Linked DNA regions of Xenopus tropicalis. The protein of the gene in region 1 purifies or fractionates together with the protein of each later gene. This does not show direct contact. Links are inferred from orthologs where the notes say so. Each region holds a gene or a part of one and is shown in the gene's direction. Other genes may lie near its edges. The genes, in order: ubr5, atmin, cep78 and dyrk2.

Region 1 (7,600 bases):
ACTGTGTAGATATAAAGCTGTAGTCTGTTTTCCACATAGTCATTAGGCAGTCTGGAGGCCATAAAATCCTTTGGCAGGGCACATCTGCCCCACAGGCCGCACAGCATAGTCTTAAATTAAACCAACAGCCTTGAAAAGACTCCACAGTCTTTTTTTTTTTTTTTTTTTTTTTAAGTTTTACATAAACACTCTTTGGGGGGAGAAAATAAAGTAGATGAATCGGGAGATAAGAACGGTTGATTAAAAATATAATTGGCTTAACTTAAGATCACAGAATATGATATGCATGTGAAAAGAATGAGTATTAGGTTTTTCTTATTCAAGTTTGTACATTTAATACCTTTAACCCAAAACTTTGCTTTGTTTTTCCTTTTTTCATTTCTTCAGGAGCAGATGGAGTTCTGGGGTTGGTGGAAGTGGTGGGGGATCCTCTGGCCGGTCATCAGCTGGTGCTAGAGACTCTCGGAGGCAAACAAGAGTTATCCGCACAGGAAGGGATAGAGGCTCTGGTCTCCTGGGCAGTCAGCCACAACCTGTGATTCCAGCTTCTGTTATTCCTGAGGAACTCATCTCGCAGGTATAGTCCTCTTTTATATTTCTAAGTAAATTCAAACTTTTATTTAAACCTACAATATACATGTATGTATGTATGTATGTTCTCAGATATTTGCTGTTTAATGTGATCGATTCAGAATAATATCGTAAGACTAAAGCTCAGCTTGATGAATGTACAGAAATAGCATTAAATATAGTGAGCCCACGCTTCTTTTCACAATTAAATGGTTTACTGTCAGCGCCGCATAATAGTCTTCTCTTAGTAGTTTGACACCCATATATTTGGTTACAAGCACCGGAGACTCATTTAAAGGAGAAGGAAAGGTATTTTGGCATTTTATAGCTAATAGATTAGTCACAATAGTGCCACCTAGAACGCTAAATTTATACTGCAGAATGCTTTACCATACCTGAGTAAACAGTCATAGAATCTCCCTCTGTTTAAGATAGCAGCTGCTGTTTTAGCTTGGTCTGAAAACACTTCCCTGCCTGCACACTGCTCCTGAAACAGCTCTAAGTTTAGATGGGAGGGGGTGAGAGTTGAGCTGGAACAGGGAGGAGAAAGTAGGGTGAGAGAGGAGCAAGCTGAGCAGACTCGCGCCGTGCCCTGAAGGATTTTTCTGAGTGCAGGAAGTTCTTTGTTTGATTTTGCCACTGACATGGTGAGTACATCGGGGCTGATTGGATGATTGGATTCAAGGTCTGTGCAGAATTTTCAGGCAGCCTGGTTGGAGATCACTGTACTAGAGGATGAGACTTTGTCCGTCCCATAAAATCTTAAGTTGCATGGTGAAATTTCCAGACAGAAGTCATATAACCAAAGTATCTCATGTAGTTTAGATTTTGACAGCAGCTTTTATTTGTATTCAGTGAGTTTGTCGTTTATTGGTTGTACTGGTGACCTGTGTTTATACCCCTGTTTGGCAATATATGCGTAACTGCTCAAGCCACTCTCTGTGTCGTGCAGGCACAAGTTGTTCTTCAAGGAAAATCGCGAAGTGTTATTATTCGAGAGCTACAGAGAACAAATCTTGATGTAAACCTCGCAGTTAACAATCTCTTGAGTCGAGATGATGAAGATGGGGATGATGGTGATGACACTGCTAGTGAATCTTACTTGCCAGGAGGTAAGTTCAGTTTAGCCATTTAGATTATCCAATTTCTAACAATCCATGGTAAGCATGCTGGTCATTATGTTACTGGAACCCGTTGTGTTTCAAGACTGAAATCTAAAAGAAGCTCAAAATTCTTTCGATTCTTCTAAGGGCATTGGAAATGAAGAGAATCAGCATTTTGCAGCCTGCATGATTTCCAGCTTGGTAGGTGGAGAGCGGAACTCTCCAAATTGCTTTTCCATTCACTTCATTCTGGCCTGTAAGTTTACAGTGCGTCCTGCCAAGCTGAAAATCGCATGGGTGGAAATATGCTCTGGGTAATCTGTCTTGCAGCGCCCTTATGTACGTAGATGACAGATTTTAGAATTTAATCCTAGGAGAAATAATGGTGTAATGTTTTTACTTTAATTACTGCTTATGATCCTTGTGTTTGTAGAAGATCTTATGTCACTGCTGGATGCTGACATTCATTCTGCTCACCCAAGTGTCATAATTGATGCTGATGCTATGTTTTCAGAAGATATTAGCTACTTTGGTTATCCATCTTTTCGGCGCTCTTCACTTTCCAGGATAGGCTCATCCAGAGGTAATTCTGAACCTTTGCTTCCCCATCCTGTATACCTGTAATTGTCCCTGTGATGCCTTTATTAGTACAGTTTGTGTAGGTTACACATAATGCAGCAGTGGAAACCAATCAAGGTAAATATTTCCTTTTTTTTTTTTTTTAACTATGAATACTAGATAGCTAGATTTGCATTTATGTAATGGTTGGTGGCATCAAGCTTTCTGTTGGGGAAGCAAATTATCCACTGCTTTTAAGTGTAAAATAGGGGGAGTCTGTCAGATTCCTGCCTATGGCCTTAAGAATGAGAGGGCCGTAACATAGCTACCAGTAGCCCTTCGCCAATTCTAAATTTAAATTTAGACCCTATTCTAAGTTTTTTAAATTTAAAGGAAAGAATACAATTTAAAGAGCCAGTAACACCAAACAATGAAGAGGATTGATATATATCATTTGTAATATTTGTATGTATTATTTTCACATTGTTGTTCATTACTGTGTCTGGATGCACAGTGCTGAATTACATTTAAGGTAACACAGCTTTTTGAACAAATTTATTTTTAGGTGCCTAGTTTTTGGCATCAAAGGGAAATTATTTTTAAAAGTGCAGGCCGGGCATAGAATTAGATTTATATGTACATAACACATTTTCAATTTTTGATGTTACTGGCACTTTAATTTATAGGCTTTATTTGCTGCTAGATAAGAAGGGTCTCAAATAGAGATTGGCTTACTTTTATCCCACTGGTGTGACCCAATTGCATACCAGTTCTCCTTCTTCCCTTAGAGAGAGACTCTGAACTGTTGCGTGAACGTGAGTCAGTGTTGCGTTTGCGTGAGCGGAGGTGGCTTGATGGGGCCTCGTTCGATAACGAAAGAGGCTCCACAAGCAAAGAAGGGGAGCCTGCACTCGATAAGAAGAACACTCCCATACAGAGTCCAGTGTCACTGGGAGAAGACCTGCAGTGGTGGCCTGAAAAGGTATCTTTATAACTAGTCCCAATAAAGGTTTATATCACAATCAGAGTTCACAGAGCACTTTCACTTTTTTTGTAAATACTTCTGTATACCTTTATTTTATATACAGCTTCTGGAGTCACTAAAGCACTTTGAATTGCTTGATTTTCCTTAGGGAGGCGGGGGGGGGGGGGAATATTCATATTCAGTGGACGTTTATAAAACCAATAACAAGTCCACTGCTCTTTCAGTAAGTCAATATAAAGTATAGTTAAAACTGCTTTTTTTGCATATGCTGTCTCTGTAGGACGGTACAAAGTTTATTTCTATTGGAGCACTTTATTCTGAGCTGGTTGCTGTGAGCAGTAAGGGAGAACTTTATCAGTGGAAGTGGATGGAGTCAGAGCCTTATAGGAATACACAGGTATTTAGATTTCTCTATATGCTATTAACTGTATTCCCTATTATGCTACTTGTAACATTTTATCGAATTCATCATGCACTATGAATTTATATATCACAAATGGAATTAAAGAGTTTTATTTTACTTCCAGAATCTGTCATTACATCATCCAAGAGCATCCTTTTTAGGCCTAACAAATGAGAAAATAGTCCTGTTGTCAGCAAATAGTATCCGAGCCACAGTCGCTACAGAAAGCAACAAGGTTTGAACAGTGTTCTTGGCTTTTCTTTGACGCTTATTTGTTTTTGTCTGCTTATTGTGTCCTCCAGTTTCTGTCTCACTAGGGCCCAGCTTTGTTTTACTTGGCAATTGCTTCTGCTCCAGCTGGGGGCCATACATATTGTTTCTGTTATTTATGTATTTTTTAATGTTCAGTTTAAGTTCTTGCACAGTTCTGTGTGATATAAAAGTGTCCTTTAATTGTAATGAGTGCTTATTCCATTTTCTCTTTTAAGGTTGCTACTTGGGTTGATGAAACATTAAGTTCTGTAGCCTCAAAGTTAGAGCACACAGCCCAGATTTTCCCAGAGCTACAAGGAGACAAGATTGTTTCATTGCACTGTTGTGCGCTTTATACCTGTGCGCAGTTAGAAAATAACCTTTATTGGTGGTGAGTATAATTTGCTTGATTCAAAATAAAAAAGCAGGAACAGGGAATTTTAATTTTGTATAAACAATATCCTAAAGCTGGCCATACACGCACCAATAGCTTTGTATGATTTTCAGACTGTGTGTGGCCTCCCAATTATCGTCCTGATAATTTTCATACAATGCCAATTGCTCGTTTAGCCGATAGGCCAGGTTAGAAAATTTCGGTCAGACGAAGATAAAATCTGCAAATGTGTTGTGTATCTGACGATATCCTTGGGGGACCTTAATGCATTTCCAGGACATCACTTTCATATGATTGGTGTTTGCCAACTATTTCAGAACTATTATGTTCAGAACATTCTCCGATTTGTTATTTTAAGGGTGTTATCCTACAATTTCAGTCTGAATGTTAGTTTTATATTGTTACATTTAAACGTACGATTGATATCCGAACATTCGTCGGAAGAAGACTAAAATCTGAACATGTCATGGAACTGCCACCTTAATGCGTTTCATGCTTAACCAGCACTTAATCATAGGCTCCCATGGGATATCTGTGAACACCCAATCTTTTTGTGTCTGGCTACCATTTATATACTTGAAACTTCTCCCACCTCTTCAGTAAAGTCAGCTGGGACCGGGTACCACAGGTATAGGAAGGACAGCTTGCTGGGTAGAGCACGGGTTGGGAGGGAGGGTCGGTGCGTGTATTGCTGCTTTACTGCATTAGACTTCAGGGAGCAATGTGTTTTTTATTTTCCCTAATTTATTTGAATTTTAACTTGTTATATGCTGATTCACAATGCGTGCCTGAATAAGAAATTAACAAGTCAAATTTTTATTTTCAGGGGCGTTGTTCCTTTCAGCCAGAGGAAGAAAATGCTAGAAAAAGCACGTGCAAAGAATAAAAAACCCAAATCCAGTGCCGGAATTTCATCCATGCCAAATATCACAGTTGGGACCCAGGTGAGGAAACTCTAGTGGGCTTTCATATCTTGTTAGAGCAGTTTTAAACCAGCCCAAGGCCACCACAGCCCTTCAGATCTGTGGCTACAAAGGTGCCTTAAGTAGCCTCCAATTCTTTTCTGATTCCAGCCACATGATCAATGCTCCGGTCAGTCAGATGAGCTTAGGGACCAACTCAAAATATATACAGTATGCATATATAGCACACAATGCAAGTGCAAGTATGGTTAGTAATTCAGAGGCACATTGCCGGACAGCATAGAAACCAGTGTAGATTGCATCAGAATAATAGTTTTCATTTAATTTTATGTAAATGGTGTTAATTTTATGTAAACATAAAAAGGTGTGTAATCCTAAAGGTTATAATTAACAATTTACATCTTTCTTGCAGGTATGCTTAAGAAATAACCCTCTCTACCATGCGGGAGCAGTTGCTTTCTCAATCAGTGCTGGGATTCCCAAAGTAGGAGTATTAATGGAATCGGTGTGGAATATGAATGATAGCTGCAGGTTCCAGCTCCGTTCTCCAGAGAGTCTAAAGAACTTGGAAAAAACAAACAAAACAACTGAAGCCAAGTAAGTCCAATGTTTTTATTTGCAAAGAATAAGTACTTCATTTCACTTCATTCAGTTTGTATATTTGTGTGTCTCTCCTTAATCTCCGCAATCTGCATTAAATAACATTTTTTTTTCTGATCTCTGCCCTGTTGGTTCTCACTGCTGAAGTGGTGGGGATTGTTTAACTATTATTTTTGTTTGCCTTCTATAAGACCTGAAAGTAAACAGGAGCCTGTAAAAACCGAGATGGGTCCTCCACCATCTCCTGCATCTACCTGTAGTGATGCGTCTTCAATTGCTAGCAGTGCCTCAATGCCATACAGTGAGTAGTCTTTATGTACAGCCTTCTCTGTGACATTTTAGAAAGTTTAGTGTGTGTGGTTTGCTTTGCTATACATAGGCAAGGAAAGCCAAAGTATTCATTATGTGTAACAAACCCCCTTGACCCCAATTGCCTACTTTACTTGACTGTTACCTTCCCTGGAGCTTGTAAATTCTGCTTTTGGTACTGAATCATGCCACAATCTTTCTGCCCCAGTGGCACAGGATTCTTTATTGTCTCTAATTGGTGCTGCATATGTATGCACCCCCTCCAGCACAGACAGCTTAAGCTGTACGTGACCAGTAAATATTACAGCACAGACCAGTTTCAGATCGGCAGTAGCTGTGTAATGGTATTTAGAAGCCCCAAGGAAGGTGGCAGCCAAAACAGTAGTTAAAGGAAAACTTTACCCCCAAACAATGTAGGTCTGCCAACACAACATCACCCGGCAAAGCGTTCCATAACCTCACTGTGAAGAACCACCTACGCTGCTTCAAATGAAAGTTTAGTTAGTCTAGTCTAAAAATATATTGCATAAACAAGCTCATATGTAAAACCCTGCTTCATCTAATTAAACAATTTTCATAAAAATAGAAGAATGTGCTATTGGGTAATCCTAAATAGAAAATTGACATTTTAAGAATTAAGGGCCGCCCCCTGGGATCATAGGATTCGCAGTGCACACAAACAAGCCAAGGCACACATACATGCTAGGCCCCATCAGCCAATGAATGGGCAAAGTTTTGTCTTTTTGCTCCCACACTACTTCCTGTTACAATTAGAGCTGCATTATTTCCTGTCAGCTGATCTCTGAGGGAGCACACAGCCCATCCCTAAATGGTGGCTCAAGGGAAAGGATGTAAAAGGGCAATATTTACTGATAAATATATATTCCAGTTTGGAGAGAGTCTATATTAAGTGGTCTATTAAAGAATATCTATTAGTCAGCTAACTTTTTTCACATGATCTGGTCATGCCCCCATATTGCAAAATTCTGGTCAGCAGTGACCAAATATCTGTCAAACAACTTAGCCTTCCCCACTGTGACTGCTCCTGAAACCTGCTTGCTAGGAGTTCTAGATACTATAATTGCCCAAAATAGCTCCCGGTTACGCTACAGAATATTGCTGTTCTATGCCAAAAAAACAGTTGCAATGCATTGGATGGGCACTACCCTCCCCACCGTTACAGCCTGGAAGAATCTAGTGAATGTTGTTGTTCCTCTGTACAAACTCACATACGAGAATAGGGGCGCGCCCGATAAATTCGATAAAGTGTGGGGTCCTTGGTGTGACCTGGAGGGAAACTGAAGGACTCCACTCCCACTCACATGGTAAAACCCCCGACGCTCTTCCACTCCTCTCCATCACATCCTGCAGCACATCCTTTAGCTCAGTAGGTAGACGAACCCAATCTTATGTAACTGCTGCCAGAATCATGCTTAAACCTTATATTGTCACATCTTCCCCTTTGATATTTGTAACAAGCCTTAATGACAGACCTGAAAAGAA
Region 2 (7,600 bases), on another chromosome or scaffold:
TGTATTTGTAGTAGATATTCAGCAATATACCTCAAGAGGGCCAAAATCTCTAGGAAAAGCATCCTAAATCGAATTTTGTTTTTTTTTTTTAATCAGTGGCACAGCAGCCATTAATAAGTAGCAATTCAAAGTTCCTTCAAGCTAAAACTGCAAAGCCGTAATAGAGTAGCAAGAACAGTTCTTTATTTGTTCAAGTGAAACCTTTTCTTTCTATGAAAGGTCAAGTGAAGGGGAGATTAAACAAGCTGAACAGAAAAAATCTAATGTCGTGTTAGCTGGCAGTTTACTGGTTTGTGGAGAATGCTGTTGAATCTGCAATATACTATTTTAAGAATTATATAAACCTTTAACGTTTTAATAAGTAAAGGCGCCCTGTACAAAAAATGGACCACTAAGAGGAGCTTGAACCTCAAAAGTTCGTAAGATCTAATTCAGGGCTAAAATAATTAAATATTGACCTGTATTGGTCTCATTGGCTCACCATGTACATTACCAAATTAGCTAGTTATTTGCCTATTAGACACTGGGCCTAACAGGGAGATCTGTCCATTTGTATCAATTACCCAGCATTACATAATTTTCAGTAGGTTAGCACTATATCTTTTCTGTTTTATCTTCTATAGATAATTGAAATATTTATTTATGGAAGTTCATATAGTTTTTATGCACCATTTTTACATAACCCCAACTGGTTTGAGCTGACAACCCAGAGGGTATGTTATTCTACAAATTGTATTAAAGCAGGGGTCCTCAAACTACGGCCCGTGGTGAATTTACCCAGCCCCCTGATGCGTCCTCACCTCTGGCAGCAGAGAGAGAGGACTCAGCGGTGAGTGGGACAGGGGAGCTGAGAGGGAGGACGTAAGGGAGCAGACAGCAAACCAGGGGGAACTGGAAGAGGTAGAACTCGGTGGGTGGACGGACGGACGAACGGAGCGAGGGAGACAGAAGGGTGGACAGACGAATGAGCGTGGGAGTTTGGATGGATAGACGGAGCGTGCGGGGGGGGGGGGGGTTTGAATTCTGGAAAAAATTGCAAGAGTGGGCCACAGTTTGACGACCCCCAACAGTCTGAGGACTGAGAAGTTTGACAACCCCTGTATTAAAGGGTCATTGTATGGTGGTATAGCTTTACTAGCTTTTTGGTTTTGTGTATTTTTTTTTTTTTTTTTAAATATCCCCATCCTGCCTAGAACAGGCATTCCAATTGGGTCCTGGCTCTGAGTGTTTCCCTCCATAGATTTATTTCTGTTCTTGTCATTGTTCGCCAACATATTCAGCAGTGCTGTAAAATAACTTTGCATACAGATTTACATACAAAAACAACCAATAATCGATGCAAGAGGTGAAGGGGGTCCTGGTTGTATAAGCTTACAGTATTTAAAATAGATCTTTCAAGATGGCTGTTAGGTGGTCAATATTTTACTGTATCTGTCAGGTCAGCGTGTTCAGAGCAGGGTGATCATACACATGTATGGCCAACTTCCATTGTTTTTTTTTATTCAGGCTGATGGCCTGAACTGTCAGTGAAACAGCAAGTGAAGAGGGGCTGCAGATCTACTTTTTTAGATTTCTACATAACATTAATTTCCAGACAGAACGCAACAACTCGCAACTTAGGGACTGTCCTTTTATTATGGTGGAGGTCAGCAAATTCTTCTTGTTGACAGAATTTCAGAACCCGCCTACACTGGCCCTCTGGTGTGTTTGATTAATCTCTTTGTAATAAACTCACCTATCTGACCTATGTGCAGCATTCTATAATGTTTGCAAATTTATACCTAGGGGTTTTAAAGCTAATGAGCTTCAATCTGCCATCTGTTTAGCTATGTGACAGGCCTGCTCATCTAACCAGTGACAGCCCTCACAGTTGCTCACCCTGGTTATGCACTATTTTTGCCCATCAATTCTATAGACATAGATCTTTCATATAACATTTATATAAAATATTGAAGAGTTCCAAATAAACTCATTATATAGTTTAATAATCAAATTCTATGAATGGCGCGCACAATTCTGCTGTAATCATGGTTTGGAAGTTGGTTCTGTCATCAAAAAATCATTCAGTGCATCCTTTAATACTTTTAAGACATGAAATTCTAGCTCTCTGTAACTAAATAAGTTAGGCGATAGCTAATCCTCAAAGCACCAAGGCGTAATCCTTCTAAGAGTCCTAAGAAACATCCTGTTGCGCTTTACATATGTATATATATATATATATATATATTTTTTTTTTTTTAACCAAATCTACAAAAATTGACTATTTACTTTTTTATAAGTTAATGTTTATATATTTTGTTGCAGCGTGCATTTTCTGCTGCATAATCTGATTTCCATTCTCTGTCTTATTGGCAGCTCTAACTATAATGTTACCTTATTATAATGGTAGTGATCTCAGGTGTTGTGTGATTGATTGGTTGATTATTGCTGCACAGATAAGGTAACCATTGTAAAGGGATAGCCTGACAGCTAGCACTCAGATTTCCTCCGAAAGAATAGCCTTGCCAAGCTGTAAAGGCACAATGAATTGTGCTCTTAAGAAAAACTGTAAGGTTTTAACAGTAGTACATGTTAACAGTATTTTTGTTTTCCCTTAATGCTCTCACAGCTCTTAAGGCTGATGCCACACGAGGTGTAGGGCTGATATTTTCAGCAAGCGGAAAAACGCTTGGCAAAAATTCAGCCCTACGCCTGCTACTTGTGCCTGCACCCGAATGAATGAGATACGCTCAGGTGCAGGCACTGTAGCCGATATACGCATGAAAACGCGTGAGAATGCAAAGACTCGCGTTTTCATGCGTATATCGGCTACATGTGCCGGCACCCGAGCATATTCCATTCATTCTGATGCAGGCACAAGTAGCAGGCGTAGTGCTGAATTTTTGCCAAGCGTTTTTCCGCTTGCCGAAAATATCAGCCCTACACTTGGACCAGGTCAATGTTTCAGATAACATCTGATATTGCATTTCATGTTTTAATGTATATAATGTATGTTTATTATTTCTCAGGATGGAGTGCTGAATCCCACATTAAGGAAAGATTTAAAAGCTTCACAGAAATTATATTGTTGTCCAATAGAAGGCTGCCCAAGAGGAACAAACAGGCCTTTTTCTCAGTTTTCCCGTGTTAAACAGGTATGCCAACTGTCCTAAATTTAGTTATTACTTTTATATGACACCCCCCCATCCTATTCTATATCATCCTTCTCCTTTTCAGTACTCTAGTTTCTAATTTTCAGTATTCCAGTCGCAAATCTCCCAAAAACATATTCCTTAAATCATACTTCAAACCTCCCCTCGAGTAGCATATGTATTGTGGCTGTCCTCAGCAACAAAAAGGGGTCACTACACCGAATGCTTAATCTGACAGAACCATCTGTGGCGAAGGAACAAAAATTAAAGTTAAAGAAGGACTGGCTCGAGGGCCTATATCTTAAGGGGTCACAGCATAGTAGACATTTTGGTGTATGCCACTTGCTTCATATCTGGGTCTTCCTGCATCAGCAATTAGAAATCGGGCATGGTCAAGTGCTTTGGAGTGCTAATTGTGTGCATTGGATTAGAGCACATACCGGCAAGCATTTTTATGGGCTAATTTTTGAGCGCATCTAAGTGGATGAGCAAAATGTTTCTATTCTATTCTGCTGTGATTCTGACTAGTCATAGCTACAAGAGTTCACAGCTGCATCTCATTGTTTTTTCCCAAATGCATGCTCTATTTCTGTGTTTTGGTGTTGCTTCAAAATATAACTGAAAAATGCACATTAAAATAAAATTTTAAAAAAAGCCAGTGATTTCATACAATACTTCTATGCATGTTTTAAGGACCCAAATCAGCAGCTGAAATCTGCCCATGTATGGCCACCCTTAGTTTTCCATTCTCCTCTTTTTATATTTGCTCTCTACATTTTCTCCTCATTGTACCATTCCTGCCTAACATAGAAGCATGGTGAATTAGCAGATATTATCCCTTTTAAATGGTCACAGTGAAGAGTATCATTATTTTTTTTGTGCTTTTCCAGATTACTGTTTATTCTCCTTAGTGTCAGAGCAATAACAGTATTTTATTTGTACTGAATGTATTTGCTTTCAGCACTTCATGAAAATGCATGCAGAAAAGAAGCACAAATGTATCCAGTGTGGGAGCAGCTACGGCACTGAGTGGGACCTGAAACGCCATCTTGGTTATTGTGGAAAGACCTTTCATTGCACCTGTGGCTGTCCTTATGCCAGCAGAACTGCTCTCCTGTCCCACATTAATAGAACTGGCCATGAGATTCCAGTTGAACACAGGTGAAATATGTAAATAACATTGATTATACTGCCATTGTCTCCTGTCATGTACCGTGTTCATCATACATTTTTTGCTTCATTTATATGTGTGATTTTAATTTTCTTCCCAGAGAGCCCCCTGTAAAGAAAAAGAAGATTGAAGCTGCTATGAGAAGTCTTGAAACCATGAATGAGGCAAGACTTCCTGAAAGTGATCTCCCTTTGGCTTCACAAGATGATCAAATGGCAGATTTAAAACTATGCACTGTTGAAAGCCTCAGCAGTTCCTGCTTGACAGAAAGCAACCCCTCACAGCCGAAACAAACTCAAAAATTGCTGCTTCCAAAGTTGGCTTTACTCAAGCTCCCAGTAATGCAGTTTACCCATCTACCTGTTTTGGTCCCTTCATCTGCTTGTTCAGTCAAACCAGTGCTTGTTGCAGTTAAAGATTCTGTTGCAACTTCTGTGCAAATATTGTCTAATTACAATGGATCAATTGTCTCAAACCTGGATACAAACACTGCTTTACCTGCTGGTATTGTATTGTCTAGAAATACAGATTCTAATACAGTTGGACCGGTAAACTCTTTTGTGCAAGTCAACCTAGATAAACCGGTGTCTAGTAACATCATGTCAGATATGGGCAATATCTCCCAAAAGAACCGGATCACATCAGATGTTCAGACTGACATATCGTACTTTACACAGTCTTTATTACCAGACCCTCCTTGGACTTCTGACTCTTGTGTCTCATCTTGTTCCCAAACAGACTTATCATTTAATGCACAGATCTCACTTCCAATCAGCGTTGAGACCCAAACACTACAATCAAATTCTGAGTTGCCCTACAGCACTAAGGCTGGCATGTCCATCAGTCCTTGTTTCTCTGGTGGGATTTCTCGTGAGACACAAACAAACACCGAACTATCGAGAGGGGCGACTTTACAGGTGGACCAAGCTGTTATGTGTGAAAATATATTTACTGGCGGCCACTCTTTTTACACTGTGTCAACCCAAACAAGTAAGGCAGAAAGTAGGTTTTTGCCTGGAGCTTTGGACCAAAGTTTATTGAATACAAATGATGTTCAGCAAATAAGAGAAGAGACTATAGGCTTCAACAATCAGAATGGGGCATTCCCTAATCAAAACATGACTGATAACCAAACACAAACCATGGAACTCCTTAGTGACCTTGAAAAAATATTATCTGATAATATGTCCGGCCAGCCGTTAGATAATCGCAGTCTGTTATCAGTAGAAAGTTCAGGAGGGGAAGCAAATTTGTCATCTAATTGTACGCAAAACCCAGGCATTGATTTTGACATAGATGAGTTTTTTTCAGCCTCCAATATTCAGACACAAACTGAAGAGTGCGAGTTGGGGAATCTCGCCTCAGAATATCTAGATATTGAAACCCAAACAGACTTCCTGTTTTCTGAGGACTCTGCCCAGTTGTACTCTAACAAAACCAACTCTAGCATTCTAGGTATGGAGATGTTTGATACTCAGACACAGACTGACCTAAATTTCTTTCTAGACAGCAGCTCTCACTTGCCATTAGGTAGCATATTGAGACAGTCTAGCTTTTCAATGAGCACAGACTCATCCGATGCAGACAGCCATGCAAATTTATCTTCTGAGAGCAAAACTAACGAATCTCACAGCATGGAATGTCAAGTACAGCAAAACAGTGCTGAAACTCAAACAACTGACAGCTGCTTTGAAACACTAGGCCATTTATTTCTCACAAGCAATGAGACCCAGACTGCAATGGATGACTTCCTTCTTGCAGACCTGGCATGGAATACAATTGATTCTCAGTTTAGTTCTGTTGAAACACAGACTTGTAAGGAGCTTTTCTCTTTGTTTTCATCTGATAAATCCCATAACTGATTAGCACTCCCAACACTTATTAATGCTCATAACTGTGTATGAGTGTTCTTCAGCCCAATATATTTATGCCCTTTTCCTGGCTGAAGCGATAGCAGTCTGTCATTTTCTGACCCCTCTCACTGTGAAGAAACTTGCATGGCTTACTGTTAGCTGAGAAACAAAAAATATCTGTTGTGTATTAGAAATTATGGTATGTTTCCATCAACCATACAAGGATTTTCAGCTACCTGCATGCTGAGAGGTGTAGTTAAACGTTAGAGCCATGTGTGAAGATTCCTGTTAAAAAGCCAGTGACACAAAAAATGAATGTTTTATTTGTATATAATTACATTTGTATTTTTTGACTACACGTCTAAAAAATGTGTTTTCTAATATAGGTGATTATATAAGCTATTATGCAGCTATGGGGCTGCTATTTGGGTTCTAGATGGCTAGAGCCCATATTTGCATAGCGAATAACAGATATACTACATAGGTTGCAATGTTTTAAAGGGTAGTTTACCATTAGGTTAACTTTTTGTATGTTATAGAATATCATATAGTTGTTAAATTATTTGCCTTTCTCTTAGTCACTTTCCATCTTTCAGAAGATGGACTCTGACTCCTGCAGGCAAAAACCTGCCCTGGGAGGCTACAATTTTGTTACTTTATTATATTTCTTTCTAACCGGGCACTTCCCTAATAAATTCCCAGTCTCACGTTCAAACCATTGTCTGGTTGTTAGAGTAAATTGCACCCTAGAATCCAAATAGCTGCTGAAATTCCATACTGGAGAGTTGCTGAACAAAAAGAATAGTAGTTTAAAAATCCCAAAATATTCTGATAATATCAGTCTACCCCATGCTAAATGTTAATATAAAGGTAAACTACCCTTTTTAAATGGAGATATCAGGGTTAAAGATCATTTATGGATCTCTACCACCATTTATGGTAAGGCCATTTCTGCCATGAAATACTTTGTGCTGGGCAAATATATATCACCTTTAACCGCAAATAAAATACTTTCATGTCTTGGTGTTACATGCCCTTCTTGCACTAAACAATTGTGCTGTATCACAGAGAATGTCTTATTGGTTGTTAAAAAAAAAACCAGATCTAAACAGCATGTATATCTATATGCCACGTGTAGAGGTTTGGACTATTTGTATATGATAGGCACACCTATAAAGAAAAGCACTTTATTTTTGTTTTCTTATGTAATTTATTTATGCTGTCAGAATAACTGGTCAACCAAGTATGTGTGCTTAATTTAAATAAAAAATACTAAAATTGTCATGCCAATTGTCATACCTGTGGCTCCAAATGATACCTTCAGTAAACTGGTAATTGTGATATCGACATGCGGGTCTGGGTGGAGAAGCAGTAATAAGTAAAAACTGGGTATGGCAGCACATAACCTAACATAATAGATGAGGCTGAAAAAGATGCATTCAATA
Region 3 (7,600 bases), on another chromosome or scaffold:
AAGGTAAGGAGTAAATATGTGATTGTGTTACTAATGATGTAGGATGAATGAGGGGGTTATTGAGATATTATAATAATTATTGTATATGAGAACATGGCACATTGTTTTAGAAGCCTTCTTTTCTACATATTTGCATGCTTATTAATGTATTAAAGCTAGCTTCTTGATTTGTTTAGTAGAGCAAGACCTTTAGCAATGAATTATGAAAGCCAGTCATCCATCTTGAAGAAAACACAGCAAGTCCATTTGATTTGGCATATTACTACAGATTTATAACTGTAAATTTGTAGTATCTCTATGATATATTATATCATCTTCAGATTCTATCAGATTCACATTTTTGCATAGAGATACGTTTACAGTGGTGCTTGAAATTCTGTGAACTCTTTGTATTTTTAATTCTTCTGCATAAATATGCCCTAAAAAATTTTTTTCACACAAATCCTACGACTACATAATAAAACCCAAATAAAAATATAAATCAAAAACATTATACTTATAGCTGAGTGGAAAAGTTTGGGCACCCCTGCCAAATTACATATTTAGCTAATTATATACATAAAAACAACATATTTGCAAATGTTAATGCACAAGGATGATGATGATGTCAGTGGAGATTATCATATATCAATGGAGTTTGTCCTCAGGCCAGGCCTTGGAATTCTATGCTGACCGTATGCATTTTTTTAAGGGTTTGGCTGCATCCTCATCTGTGGAAAGCCTGTCTTTGGCATATTGCTCCTGTGGAGATGAAGGACTGGAAAGTAAGTTTTCCTTCAAGTTGGTTATTGTATGTATTTATGAGAATGAAATAATTTTTCATCGCTGAAGTTTTACTTTTTGCCATTGGGGTTTCACTTGAATCTGCAAAAAGCACATTAACCCATGCTCTTATATAAAAATGACACCCTTTTAAAGGGTCAGTATACCCTCTTGTTTAACATGAGTTCAATGAAAACATCTTGTGCTAAATATACTTCTTGCTTATGTCATTTTTGGTTCTTGCAAATTTGATTTCCAGTGCACAGATAGTCCCCCCTACATAATGGACTCCTGCTAACAAAACAATCTCAACAAAGGGTAAAGGGTGGGGGTTGTATGCTGGTAATGTTACTAAAAAGAGACATAAATGTAGCCCCTTGTGGAATTATTATAATTCTTTGTGTATAAAGTGTCAGATAAAATATCTCTTCTATAGGTGATCAGCATCTACTCACATCATTTCTTTCTCAATTAGTTTTTGTTTGGTAGAACTGTTCCCGCTGATGCTTTATTTTGTGTATTTCCTTTTCTCTGTTTCCTCCGTTTCCATGGAAATCTCAACAGGATAAATTAACTGTATTTCTGAATGTGTAAAGCCTTTTACAGTGGTCTCCACAAGCTGCAGGATATGACTTAATGAGCAGACAAGAGGAATTCATGATGCATGCAACTGATATTTTCACTGCTTCTTATAGAAGCACCCAGCATCTTTTTATATTCCTATAAAGAATAAGCCATAAAGCCAGATACTGTGCCAAAAACAGGAAATTTTTGCTAAAAGCACATGATTTTGTTTTTTAAGGGCATTTTTGTATATTCTTGCCTTTTAACATTTTCTGTGTTTCAATCTGGTATTGGAACCAATGTCTAGAATGCTTGGGACCTGGGGTTTTCAATATTGGTTTTTTTTTATATAATTTGGATCTTTTATACCCTAAGTATATTAAAGCATTTAAATATTAAAATTGACTCTATGTGAAACAGTGAAACAAAGGTTTTTTTGCGTTTTCAGTTATTTGTCAAAGTGTAAAGAATTCACCTACAATCAAGACAGTAAATTTCACAGGGTGCAATCTGACATGGCGAGGAGCAGAACACATAGCAAGTATCATCAAGGTAAATGGTCTGCAGTGCATTTATATGGCCTGTGATACTCTGGAAAGTACTGGTCTGGTTTAATAGCTGAGAATGAGTAGTACTGATGCATGATATTTCATGTGAGATTTAATTGCAGGTGGAATTAATGCAGGAGGCCTTCCAAAGGGGCCTATTTATCATGCTCTGTACATGAGAACTAAAGCCTGAATAGTATTTTTGAAAGCTCTCCCTTCCCCCACCAAAACCACATCAGTTTGTCCCCACAAATCTGCCCTAATTTCCTTATCTTATGAAAGGAAGCAAAGTAGCATAGTGGGGTTAAAGGATATTTTCTTACACTGCTGAATCTTTTCTCATAAGTGATTGCAGACACAGATGTGGTGCAATTCAGCCCCATTGCACTGTTCTGCTTGTTCTCAACAGGTAGGGAAAACTGAGTAGATTTTAGGGGGAAAATTGGTGTGGTTTGTATGGGGGAGGGCCCTCCAAAAATATTACCATTTTTCTAAGACTTTAGTTCTCTCTTAATGGATTACACAAAGTCTGAAGTAGTAATATAATACAGCAATTGGGGGGCATAAAAGAGCATGCACCTCTTTATTTTATACCACTTTTGATACTAAATCATTTTACATTGTTTGAATAGTACTCAAAATATACTCCTGTGGTCAGACAAATAAGCTATCATTGATGCCTAAAGAAAAATGTTCTCCATTGCAACTCTTACTTGTTAAGCATCAAACCAAGGAGCATGCTTGGTAGGGGCTAAAGGTGCTGCTGCTGCTACTGAAAATACCTGCAACTAATTTATCAACTTTTAACAGCTTAGAGCAGGCATTCTTAACCTATGGGTAAAGAATTAAAAATGAGTCTATATTCTGTTTATGGTAGGTCTCCTTGACCCCTTTTAATCATGTGAAATTTCTTCTACTGTAGAAAGCAATTAAAATGCTAGCAAAACAATTTTGGGCTGCAAAGAAAAGTACATAACTTAATTTGGGTTCCCTAAGTATAGGCCTATAAGACACTGATTGAGAGAGTTGATACTGGTGACCTAAGTGATACTGGGAAGACAAAAAGGGGGAAAACTAAGTTAATTTATGTCATAAAATTGTATATTTTCTATAATGCAGAGTCTGCTATATAACATACAACAAGTGGGAAACGAGTAATGCTCTTGGGCCTATTGCTGTTTTTTATAATGCTGGCATCACTCCTCTTATTGTACTTTTTTTTTTTGTTTTGTTTTTTACTTTCGTACCAATTTATTTGTGCTATTCTTGACCTACTCAAGTAAATTTTGGCAAGCTGAAGGAATTTTTATATTTTCTTAATTTGCTTATCGAGTTTTTTTGATAGCCAGGGAAAGAACAGCATCCCAACACCAGGAAAGAATGTTTTGCAAAACTTACTGTGGATATAATTTAATCATGTTACAAGTTCATGTGCTGCTATTTTACATCAAAGATGTCATGCAGAAAATGACAGGTGAATGTGTAATTGTATCTTCATAGCATCAGGCTACCAGAAGGCACAGTGAAGCCTGGGCTGAAAGCCTGAGATACAGAAGGCCTGATCTTGACTGCATGGCTGGTTTAAGGCGTGTCACTCTTAACAGCAATACCCTTGTGGGTGACCGTGGAGCCATTGCCTTGGCAGAAGTGATAGGCGAGGACCTCTGGTTAAAAGGTATACATAATTTTCAAATGCAGTTTCAAAATATGTAGTAGGAGCATGTATATTATTACTATTATAGTGTACTGTAATGCTTTAGTCACAGTCAATCTAAACACTCTCTAATATCGGCACCCTGCTTGGTCAGATTTTTTTTTTCTATTATTCATGTGCACTTCTAGGGGGCAGCAAAGGACATGTCCAAAAAAATTAAACTTCCCTTATAAAAAAAAAAACCAAAACATAATTCTAAGCTATTTTATTATAATTCTAAGCAACTTTGCAATATACATTAATTACAAATATGTAATGGTTTTTACATTATTTGTATATAATGTTACAGGGTTTGTCCTTTTCCCATTCTTTGCCTTGGTTTTAAAGGTAAGTTCTATTTTAGAAACAACACAAAGTTTACAGAGTGACATTTCCTAGTTGGCAGTTAGTTATCAGAGACACTGTATAGAGGAGCCAGATTTACACATTTAACAACAACTGAGTCACCTCCATCATTTCAGGGGATCTTTTGGAGGTTCAGAGGCTGGGAGTACCCTTGTCCTTAAAGATTTATAAAGTCGGGGTGTGAAGAAATAATTTTCAGGTGTCCATTTATTGAAGTGCCTCTGAAAATGTATTACACTAGGGTTCCCAGACTCATTAAAGGAGAAAGAAAGTTAAAAACTAAGTAAGCTTTATCAGAAAGGTCTGTGTAAATGCTGCTATAAGCACTCACAGAAATGCTGCACTGACTTCTCTGTAAAAAGATTAGTTGTGTCTGTTTTCCTCTGCCAGTAACACACAGCTTTCAGCTCTCTCCTCTCTGCTGCTCCCCCCTCCCTCAAGAATGCTGAGAACTCACTCCCCCCTTAGGAATGTGGATCAGAGCCAATGAGCAGGAAGCTGACTCATAGGGGCACATTTACTAATCCACGAACGTCCGAAAAGCTTCCGAATGCGTTTTTTTCATAATGATCGGTATTTTGCGATTTTTTCATAAATTGTCGTAGCCGTTACGACTTTTTCGTAAATTGTCGCGACTTTTTCGTAGCATTACGACTTGTGCGAATTGTCGCGACTTTTTCGTAGCCGTTGCGCCGAGTACGAAGATTCATTCAAGCTTCAGTATCGTGACTTTCCTTGGGCCAGGTTGGAGCTGCAGAGTGCCATTGAGTCCTATGGGAGGCTTCCAAAATCATGCAAAGTCTGAAAGGTTTGCCCGCTGTTTACGAGCGCTCAATACGGAAAAGTCGCGACAATATTGCAGCTTCCAGGACTTTTAAAAGTGATGGGTGTTAATAGTCTAGGGAAATCTAGATTGTTTGCTAGAAAGTCAATTATTTGGGACCAGAAGTGGATATGGGGACATCAAATCATGCTCCAAGGTTACCACACCATGGGCATCTGACAGGGGTATTATAGAGATAATGATAGGTTTGTGGCTCTGATTTTTAAAAACAATTTAACACAAGCCAGTAGACCGACAGACCTGTCTTACTGGAGGATTCTGGCTTTTGCAACATTATTTAAAAAGTCATACCCAGAAGTTAAGCAAATGCTGCTTTCAATAGCAAATACTTTTACAAATAACTTTTAAAGCACTAAACATTTTTAAAGGAGAAGGAAAGGTAAAAACTAAGTAAGCTTTATCAGAAAGGTCTATGTAAATACAGTCATAAGAAAGAGGATTTGTTGTCTCTTAGTTTTCCAGGGACAGTCAGCTCTCTCCTCTCTACCCTCTCCTGCTCCCTCCACCCTCAAGAATGCTAAGAACTCCCACCCCCCTTAGGAATGTGTGGTCTGAGCCAATCAGCAGGAAGCTTCCTCATAGTCTTATAAACTGCGCATGTACACCTTGGTGTTGGTGCAGGAGGCTTCTGATCATCTGAACTGGAGAAATGGAGATTTAAGGGCACTGTTGAGAGAACTGAATGTATGCCTGCATCTTGAGATTAACTCTTTATTAGCCTTTCCTTCTCCTTTAATAAATTCATATTTGATAGTTGCTTACAATTATGTTTTCTTTTAAAGTTGACATGTCCTTTAAAGCCCTAATTATACATATGAATTCTTGCTTAGGCCCTCATATACTGTTTATTGTAACCTGTTACATATATTGCATTGTTGGCAAGCTACATTTTCCATAAAGTGTAAGCCTTACACTAGATGTTTTTTTTTTGTTTGTTTCTTTTTCACTACAGCACTAGATTTGCGCCAGTGTGGTATTTCCAATGAAGGTGCACAAGCATTTCTTAACGCATTTCAAACAAATACAACACTGATAATACTGGACATCAGAAGAAACCCGCTAATAGGTACCAATGATTAAAGATATGCTGTATGTTTAAAAATTGTATTTATAATTCAGTGTAAGCTTAGAATAAAGGTGGTCATATTCTAAAGGATATGCTCATTTGGTGATGACCTTGAGGTGGGTGATCAACAAACTGATGCTTTCCTTGCCCAGTGTGATTTTTAAACCTGCTTGATCAACATCGGACCAAATACATATACAAATGTATATGCAGAAGTTACCAGACATACAGGACACCAGAAAGGAGCACACCAGACGTTAAACAGTTGTTTCATTTGTTGCACTCCTTTAATAGTCATCACATGGGGGTTATGGTTACCTATCTGCACACAACAAAAAAGGTTGTTTTTTTTTTTGTGCAAAAGTGGATATACTGCTTTTTATTGATTAGCTTTGCCTGTATCAGAAGATTGGGAGCTTGTAGATGAGCCAATTGTGTTTTGTTTATCAAAATCAAAATCTATATATTTTTGGTAGTTTAGATCATGTTTATGCACTTTTTTTTTTAACATAAGCCCAACTAATAAGCTTATGTCAGAAAGGGGGTATTTTTCCTGTTGAACATACTTCTATGGGCCCCAGATATTGCTGTCTACAGATGCTGAGGATCCCATTACAAGACACATTAAACAGATGGTGTTATGATTAGCATCACATATGCAGAATATAATCTAACTGATGTTTTTAATGCTTGTTATTCTTTGTTCTGTTTCTTTAGACCGTTCCTTACTGAAGACCATTATTGAGAGAGTGTTAATGAATGCACATGATACCAATTCAGAGGTATGCCTTACCAATTACTGTAATTATTTCATTTGGTTGCAAAATCTTTGATCACAATAATTTTTTTGTATTAAGTATGCATAATGAACTATTATGTTACTGGAAAACCTTTGGCACTAGTATATGTCTGTTTCTTTGTAAAGGCAGGATATTTGAATAGTAGGTTCTCATAAAATGGCTTCACCACTTTTGCACCCACACATGTAAAGGTCTTTAATTGTAGAAAACAAAAACTTCGGTGTCATGCATGTAGCAAAAATGTTTTGTTTAATCTGCTTTAAAACTCCAACTTAACTAGATAATATTGAAGCAAAACCTTTACAAGCTCTGGTCAATTAAAGCTCTTGCTTACATCAATGAGATATTGCCTCCTTTTTTGACATTCAGTCAAAAAACTCATTCAGTTGGGCTTATGTAGAAAAGGTGCATGAAAATAAATATATTTTTTTTACACAGACATACCTGATTCCACAGGTCAAAGAGAAATTATGGCACTTTCACAAACCATTTCTCAACTGTCTTAGGCTCACAGAATCATGCATCCCCTCTCGCCTTGTTTCATTTTGACGTGATAGATTCTTGAACTTCAAGTCCCCTCCGCTTTTCATAGTTGGTGGTGTACAGATTTTTGGGAGCAGAGAGACTTGAAATCTATCATTTTACAATGAAAAAAGGTGAGGCAGAGGTTGCATGATGTTGTGACTTAGGGGATGGGGAAGTGGTACCTGCCATCAGAGGTGTATAATGGATTTTTTTCATTAAATAAATGTTTAGTTTTTTCAACAAAGTAAAAGTGCATTCATACTTCATAATAAATCTGTTGCACATATTCAATACCCCAATCTAGTTAAAACTGCAACGATATTAAACAGGATACATGTGTATAAAATTGCCCCCACATCTATAAATACTCGTGCAACATTGTATATTATGTGAACGTTATGTGAACCATATAAAGTGCAATTTTGCTAAAAT
Region 4 (7,065 bases), on another chromosome or scaffold:
TTCTCACTCTACTTTTCTGATATTTTCTTGGAGAATGGAAGAAAGCTCCGTTTTAAAATGTGCAATGTTTTGATTTTTATTAGATTAAGCCACACCCATGCTTATGGGAAATTGAAAGCACAATTATATAATAATAAGCATATGATTTCAAATCATGGGGGTTTTAGTAGTGTGTTTGTTTCTGGTTATTAAACATCTTTCTGAATTATATTTAATACTTATATGCAGGTAGCACTCTCCTGTATATGCAATTGGTTTCATAGCTTTCCAGAACTGCTCAAGTGATGCTTTTTTTATTTTAAGAAATGTATAATTTAGTTAAATGTATTAGATGCAGAATATCAGATTATACTCAGGGCATGGAGTGACTGTTTCATTTGTCATCTCATTTTACTATCATAACGCAGATGTATATATAATATTAATGACATCAAATGTTATGGAGCTTACAGTTTTCATTTAACAGTGTTTTTGTAATGCCTGTCCTTTTAAAAGGACAGAGGTTCTGTCAAGTTTTTACTCCTTTGCAATCGGTATTCATAGAAACAGATCATTTCAATATGAGTAGAGCAGCTGCCATATTAGTGGAGCAGTTGCTCCCTGACAGCTGCTCTGCTTTGAAATATATTTTAGAACGGCATTTAGAGGAACAGGCTTTTGCAGCTACATTTTGTGCATGTATAGGAGTTACAGAGTTTTTTGGTTTATGGCATGTATTGCATGTATGGTACTCCAATTTGTTTTCCCCCTTAGGTTACTGACACAGAGCAATCTGAAAACATTAACTTTTTGTAGCTTTGTGGGCAGGGGATAATGCTACAAATTGTCCCTCCGTTAGCTTTAAATTGAATTTAGCTGGGGCAGTTTTGTGCATGTAATTACCACTTGACATTTTGGAGCAATAATCGCATAACACTGCACCGGATGCTTTAAACTAATTCATTGCTATTGAAGGGCATCTTTGGAGTGTTCCCCCTGCCTCTGGAGCTACAACAAAGTATAATAAACCATGCATAGTGCAGGATATTTTGAGTATGTCAGCTACTTGAAAACAGTGGTGATAACCAGTAAATGAGGCTTAGATTACAGTTCCGTGGCAGCCTTGCCAAACAAGCAGATTTAGGCCAGCTCTTTTGAATTCAACCAACAATTTGTACACAGCTATGTAGAAACATTACAGATCATTTTTCTGTTAATTCTCATCTTTAAATATGTATGGTATTGATGCAAGGATCTAGAATTGTGTCAGTGTGGGGTGTTGCAGTCTCTGGGGGAATGTAGGACATTTACTCAAATATTGTAAAAACACGTAGGAAATCCATTGAAAATCACCGTACTGGTTAAATTTAGAAACTGTATAATTTGAGGAATATATCCGTTTAGTTTTCTCTAAATAGTAATGCATGCAAGGGTATTGCTTACTGCTGAATGCACTGAGCATCCCAAGTTAACTGCAAGTGTTGGTTATAACCTATATTTCATTACATTTCACTACATTTCATTTATAGTGTGTTCCTCCTTCCGTGTGCTATATATTAAAATAAGTGTGTTCAGCTTCTCTTGTGCTAACTTGCAGTGTGTTGCAGAATATGCTGGTGTTGTGTAAATGCATGTTAATAATAACACTAATAATAATTTATAATAATATTAATATGTTGTAACTGAGACCCTTATAGATTACTTCAGTAATGGGAACATAGCCTCTTGTCTCTGGGGATGTTATTGCTCCAGCTTGTCAGACCTACTGATGTGGTCTCGGTATTCCACATCTGTTAAGTAAACAGAAGGGCTGGTGGATGCTGATAAGACAGTCATGGCTGCTGTGTGACTCACTTATAGTGATGAGCTTATGAACATATGTAACAGTCTGGGTCCTTCATATTAACAATTTAGTTTATACTTTGAATTTGGAAAAATATCCTCTGCTATCTCTCTGTCAGATCGGTGCATGGTGTAGTGTCAAGTATTCGTTAACTTTCCTGGTTATTAAAGCTTATTTTAGTTCTGTGTTTTGTTTTTTTTGTGCTATGTAATAGATGGTATTAGCGTATAGGAATCATCCAATTTAGAATGAAACTTCTGCAATATAGCTAATTTACAATTTGTTTCCTTTCAGACTGGAGGCAATAAGCACACAATGAATGAACATCTACATGTGACCAGCCATGGACAAATCCAGGTGCAACAACTGTTTGAAGAGAACAGCAACAAAAGAACTGTCCTGACAACACAACCAAATGGGCTTACAACTGTTGGCAAATCTACTTTACCTGTAGTTTCAGAGAGGCAGCTTGAAAGTACTCATAGAAGACAAGGAAGCTCTAGCTCTTTAAAATCAGCAGAGGGCATAACCAAGTTGAAGTCTTCTTCATTAACTCCTGAACAAGCAATGAAGCAATACATGCAGAAGTTGACTGCTTTTGAGCACCATGAAATCTTTAATTACCCTGAAATTTATTTTTTGGGTCCAAATGCTAAAAAACGACAAGGTGTAATTGGCGGCCCAAACAATGGTGGCTATGATGATGATCAGGGCTCATATGTACAAGTGCCGCACGATCATGTTGCCTACAGGTATGAAGTTCTGAAGGTTATTGGAAAAGGAAGTTTTGGGCAAGTTGTGAAAGCTTATGACCACAAACTTCATCAGCATGTGGCACTAAAAATGGTAAGGAATGAAAAGCGTTTTCATCGGCAGGCTGCAGAGGAAATCAGAATTCTAGAACACCTGAAAAAACAAGATAAAGATAACAATATGAATGTCATTCACATGCTGGAGAACTTCACATTCCGCAATCATATATGTATGACATTTGAATTATTGAGTATGAATCTCTATGAACTGATCAAGAAGAATAAATTTCAGGGCTTTAGCTTGCCTTTAGTTCGCAAGTTTGCTCACTCAATCTTGCAGTGCTTGGATGCTTTGCACAAAAACAGAATAATCCACTGTGACCTTAAACCTGAAAACATTCTGTTGAAACAACAGGGCAGAAGTGGCATTAAAGTTATTGATTTTGGTTCTAGTTGTTATGAGCACCAGCGTGTGTATACATACATACAATCACGTTTCTACCGGGCACCAGAAGTTATTCTTGGTGGTCGCTATGGGATGCCTATTGATATGTGGAGCTTGGGTTGTATTCTTGCGGAACTGTTGACTGGCTATCCACTTTTACCCGGAGAAGATGAAGGTGATCAGCTGGCATGTATGATTGAGTTACTGGGTATGCCTTCTCAAAAGCTTCTAGATGCTTCAAAAAGGGGTAAAAATTTTTTTAGCTCCAAAGGTTACCCACGCTATTGCACTGTTACAAGTCTGCCTGATGGTTCCGTGGTATTAAATGGTGGTCGTTCACGAAGAGGTAAACTAAGAGGCCCCCCTGGAAGTAGAGACTGGGTAACTGCTTTAAAGGGCTGCGATGATCCTCTGTTTCTTGATTTCCTGACACAATGTTTAGAATGGGATCCTTCTCTCCGGATGACACCTAGCCAAGCACTGCGCCATCATTGGTTAAGGAGGCGGTTGCCCAAGCCTCCAACTGGGGAAAAGATCTCCACTAAAAGAATAACAGAAAGCACTGGTGCTATAACATCTATTTCTAAGTTACCTCCAACATCAGGCTCAGCTGCAAAGTTAAGAACTAATCTGACCCAGATAACGGATGCCAATGGAAATATTCAGCAAAGGACAGTCTTGCCAAAGTTGGTTAGCTGATTTAATGGACATCTTACATTGAAAACACCTTGCTGAGCCTTATGCATACAAAGCAGCAACTCGGATTTGTACCATTTTTAATTGCTCAGATTATTTTAAATACATTGTTTGTGCAACAAGTGTATTTTTATGTAATCATGAAATTGTCAAACAACGGGGACAATGCTTTAAGGTTTTATACCTTTTTGTGATTTGTAATTGGCCTTGCTTTAACATAGGAAGTGTCAAATTCAGTGGCTGGCCACTGATTACTACTTGACTGTTAAAACTTATTTATTAATGTCAAAAGTGTTAGTTATAATTCATTCATATTCAACAGGATTATGCTCTGGGTGCCATAGGCAATTTAGAGCATTGAAAACATGTTTAATACACACTCACACAGTATAGATGTGTAGATCGGTGCATTTTGGCTTCTGTTAAATGGGCCTTGCACAAAGCTGGCACAATAGTATATACAGTAACATTTGTTTGCATTTGGAGCAATTACATGAAACTGATTTGTGAAAGGTACTGCCTTTATACTTCAAATTGAGCAGTTGAATCACTTCATTTAATAAAGGTAGCTTAATACCTTTTTTCTTATTTTTGACATAGCCAAAGGATTTCATTTTACCTTAATAAATATACCTTTAGATATATTCTATATGTAGGTGATTAAAAAAACGTTTTCTCAACATGAAAAGGGCATTGACGATAAGCAAATTTTTAAACTATTGCTTTGTGTTGATTGCTATGGGTTTTTTTTGGGGGGGGGGGGATATCTAATGGTTTTATGCAACGTGAAGTCAATTTAGTATTTTTAATGTAAGAATAGCGGAAGGCATTGGTATTACTGAAGGATCAGTAGGATGTTCATATTTATAAAGGAAAAAAGAAGTGTTGCAACCTTGTGCTGTGAAACAGCTTTGTGTATTGGGATTCAATTAAAAGCTGTAGTTTGACTGTTATCCCCTTTCCCTTTAGCCTACAGATTGCTTAGCTGTGAGATTTTGTTCTTAATCCCTTGCAGTTTGTAAGCCACACTTTTAAAGGAGCAGTTCAACCAAACAATGTTAGATATCAATAGAAGTACTTTAAATGTGCATTAGTAATCTTTGTATACTTGCCATGAAAGGTGTTCTTTCCTCTCTTCATTTATCTCCACTACATTGTTAATTACAGTAGCTCAAAGCTTTAAGCTAAAAAGTTGTTTAGATAAGTTTGAGCTATGAATGGCATTTTAAGTACTTTTATACATATTTGACATTTTATTTTTTGTGAAATGTCCAAAAATGTAGGTTTAATTGGAAAGTGTGGGTATAATTGTGGTTACATTAAATTTGCAGCTCTGCTTTTTAATTTTTATGTTACTTAAAGCATGGTCCCCAAACAATGGCTAAAATGTTTCTGGCTACATTTTTAAATTTAAGTGCAAGTCGAATAGCAAAGAGATAATAATGGATATAACTATTTACTTCAAGTTTCAATTTGGATTCAGACCACACTTGTAATCCAGCAGCAGGTCAGGCCCTTCTTAATGTACATTAGGGTTAAACAGGAAATCATTATTGTAGTAATCATCATCCTGTATAATTGCAAGGGTATCCAGGACAGTATATAAGCACGTACCGCAACTTTCACCCTACCTGCCTCTCTTCATTTACTGCTTTTTCCATCCCACTGGATGCCATTCAAGCAGCTCAAGGATCTCCTAGATCCTCATGTTGCAGTTTTGTTATGGCAGTCGTATTTTCTCATTCTTTGGTGGGAGATTCAAAAGCAACAGTACCTCAATATTTTAAAACAAAAATCATCTTTTATGTTCTCACCACTGAAAACAGATTGCACTATTTTGATATCTGATTCTGTACCAGAAACTTTTAGACAAGGGGCAACTCACAAGCACTACCAACATTGTCGGTTGCTGAGCGGGAACCCCCTTTTGATACATATTTGGATTTGTTTTCTTGGTATTTGAGTAAGGCGGTGTATAAAGTCAAATTATAAGAAACGGACATTACTTGTCCTTACTTTCCCATGAATGTCCATTCTGCCATTTTCGAAGGTAAGTGCTTATAGAATGCTGGCTGAAGCTAACTTTGTTTTTACCTTAAGGGCTTCAGTGGTTGATCTGTAATAAGTTGTCTTGGAAACAGTACTTTGTCTCACAGGTTACCATTGTCTAGGGAAGTCTTACCTATTTGCAGCATTTGGGATAGCACAGTATGATGCTGTATCCTTGGTTGCAGTCTCGCATGGCACATTCCATGCACATATTGAGACATTTTTGTCACACAAGTGTTTTGCTATATGAGTTCAACACTTTGAAACAAGAAGTGTTTATATAAACACTACAGGATACTTTGTGAACTTAGTGTGAATTATGTGCCTTTTTGTTATTAGTGCTACATTGTCAGGCATATTTTGGCCTACTTTACTCTATAAAGTATAGCAGGTAAAGGCATCTATAATACAGTTTTACTCTAATATGTCTTAAAATATTCATCATGCTAAGAGGCCTTAAAAGTAACCATAGCTCTAGCAGGTTGTTTAAGGCTGGCCAATTATGCTGCTAGAAAATGCTTCCTTAGACTGTGAGGTCCTGAAAGACCTGTTGGTTACCTGTTATACTTTTTATCATTTCTTTTTTTTTTCAGGGTTTTGATTATGCTTATACTAGTGAACAATCTTAAAAATGTGTTTGTAAAATTTACCTCAAACTGTTTTTCATTTTTATGGTGTGATCAATCCCAGGGCATTTGGTAAGAACCAAAGTGCATTCCTTTTATATTTGCTGGTTGGAATAAACCAGCCAGTGATTTTTATAATTTAGGTGCAACGCACATAAGCCACTTTTAATGTATAGTTCGGGTATACATCTCTTGGACATTGGGTTGTATTGGAATCTCAAAGAAGAATCTAAACTGTTAATTATACAGTATATAAAAAAAGCCCTTGATTCTTTCACTTCTTCCGAGATTCCCCCACATCCCAATTTTATGCAGCTTGCATAAAAAGACACATTGAATTCTTTCTTGTTGGCACTTTTACAGCTCTGCAAAACATTTTGGTTCTGAAAGGTAATTTTTAACTGCTCACAAAACCTCTACAGTTGTCTAGGCCATGACAATTTCTATTGAGCACCATCTTAGACATGTGACTGTAATATGCTGCAATTGTGTGTACTGATGATATGTGAACATTTGGAGTGAATGTGGACTTTGTGTATAATTTGTGTACATTTTCTGTAAGATGCTGCTGGCGCCACTCTACATTCCCTATAATGTAGTGGAATAGAATCAAAGTGGCGAAATTTATAATACTGTATGTATTGTACAGCAGATGATGGAAATATGACATTTTAG

Evidence for each region.
Region 2: the proteins of ubr5 (region 1) and atmin purify together in Homo sapiens (affinity purification with western blotting; 3 studies listed by BioGRID). This does not show direct contact. The link is inferred for Xenopus tropicalis from reciprocal best matches to the Homo sapiens genes UBR5 and ATMIN.
Region 3: the proteins of ubr5 (region 1) and cep78 purify together in Homo sapiens (affinity purification with western blotting; 3 studies listed by BioGRID, with this or other methods). This does not show direct contact. The link is inferred for Xenopus tropicalis from reciprocal best matches to the Homo sapiens genes UBR5 and CEP78.
Region 4: the proteins of ubr5 (region 1) and dyrk2 purify together in Homo sapiens (affinity purification with western blotting; 3 studies listed by BioGRID and IntAct, with this or other methods). This does not show direct contact. The link is inferred for Xenopus tropicalis from reciprocal best matches to the Homo sapiens genes UBR5 and DYRK2.

Annotation. Positions count from the first base shown.
Region 1 is NC_030682.2:131,338,025-131,345,624, reverse strand, and holds part of ubr5 (E3 ubiquitin-protein ligase UBR5), read left to right. Parts: intron 1-387; coding exon 388-577; intron 578-1,522; coding exon 1,523-1,682; intron 1,683-2,106; coding exon 2,107-2,256; intron 2,257-3,001; coding exon 3,002-3,213; intron 3,214-3,496; coding exon 3,497-3,613; intron 3,614-3,743; coding exon 3,744-3,854; intron 3,855-4,107; coding exon 4,108-4,262; intron 4,263-5,091; coding exon 5,092-5,209; intron 5,210-5,600; coding exon 5,601-5,785; intron 5,786-5,979; coding exon 5,980-6,089; intron 6,090-7,600. UniProt on the Homo sapiens protein: E3 ubiquitin-protein ligase involved in different protein quality control pathways in the cytoplasm and nucleus. Mainly acts as a ubiquitin chain elongator that extends pre-ubiquitinated substrates.
Region 2 is NC_030680.2:52,814,119-52,821,718, reverse strand, and holds the end of atmin (ATM interactor), read left to right. Parts: intron 1-3,008; coding exon 3,009-3,134; intron 3,135-4,092; coding exon 4,093-4,292; intron 4,293-4,402; coding exon 4,403-6,164; 3' UTR 6,165-7,437; downstream 7,438-7,600. UniProt on the Homo sapiens protein: Transcription factor. Plays a crucial role in cell survival and RAD51 foci formation in response to methylating DNA damage. Involved in regulating the activity of ATM in the absence of DNA damage. May play a role in stabilizing ATM.
Region 3 is NC_030677.2:132,558,978-132,566,577, forward strand, and holds part of cep78 (centrosomal protein of 78 kDa), read left to right. Parts: coding exon 1-3; intron 4-691; coding exon 692-764; intron 765-1,774; coding exon 1,775-1,878; intron 1,879-3,374; coding exon 3,375-3,549; intron 3,550-5,729; coding exon 5,730-5,843; intron 5,844-6,560; coding exon 6,561-6,625; intron 6,626-7,600. UniProt on the Homo sapiens protein: Centriole wall protein that localizes to mature centrioles and regulates centriole and cilia biogenesis. Involved in centrosome duplication: required for efficient PLK4 centrosomal localization and PLK4-induced overduplication of centrioles.
Region 4 is NC_030679.2:58,474,988-58,482,052, forward strand, and holds part of dyrk2 (dual specificity tyrosine-phosphorylation-regulated kinase 2), read left to right. Parts: intron 1-2,116; coding exon 2,117-3,718; 3' UTR 3,719-7,065. UniProt on the Homo sapiens protein: Serine/threonine-protein kinase involved in the regulation of the mitotic cell cycle, cell proliferation, apoptosis, organization of the cytoskeleton and neurite outgrowth. Functions in part via its role in ubiquitin-dependent proteasomal protein degradation.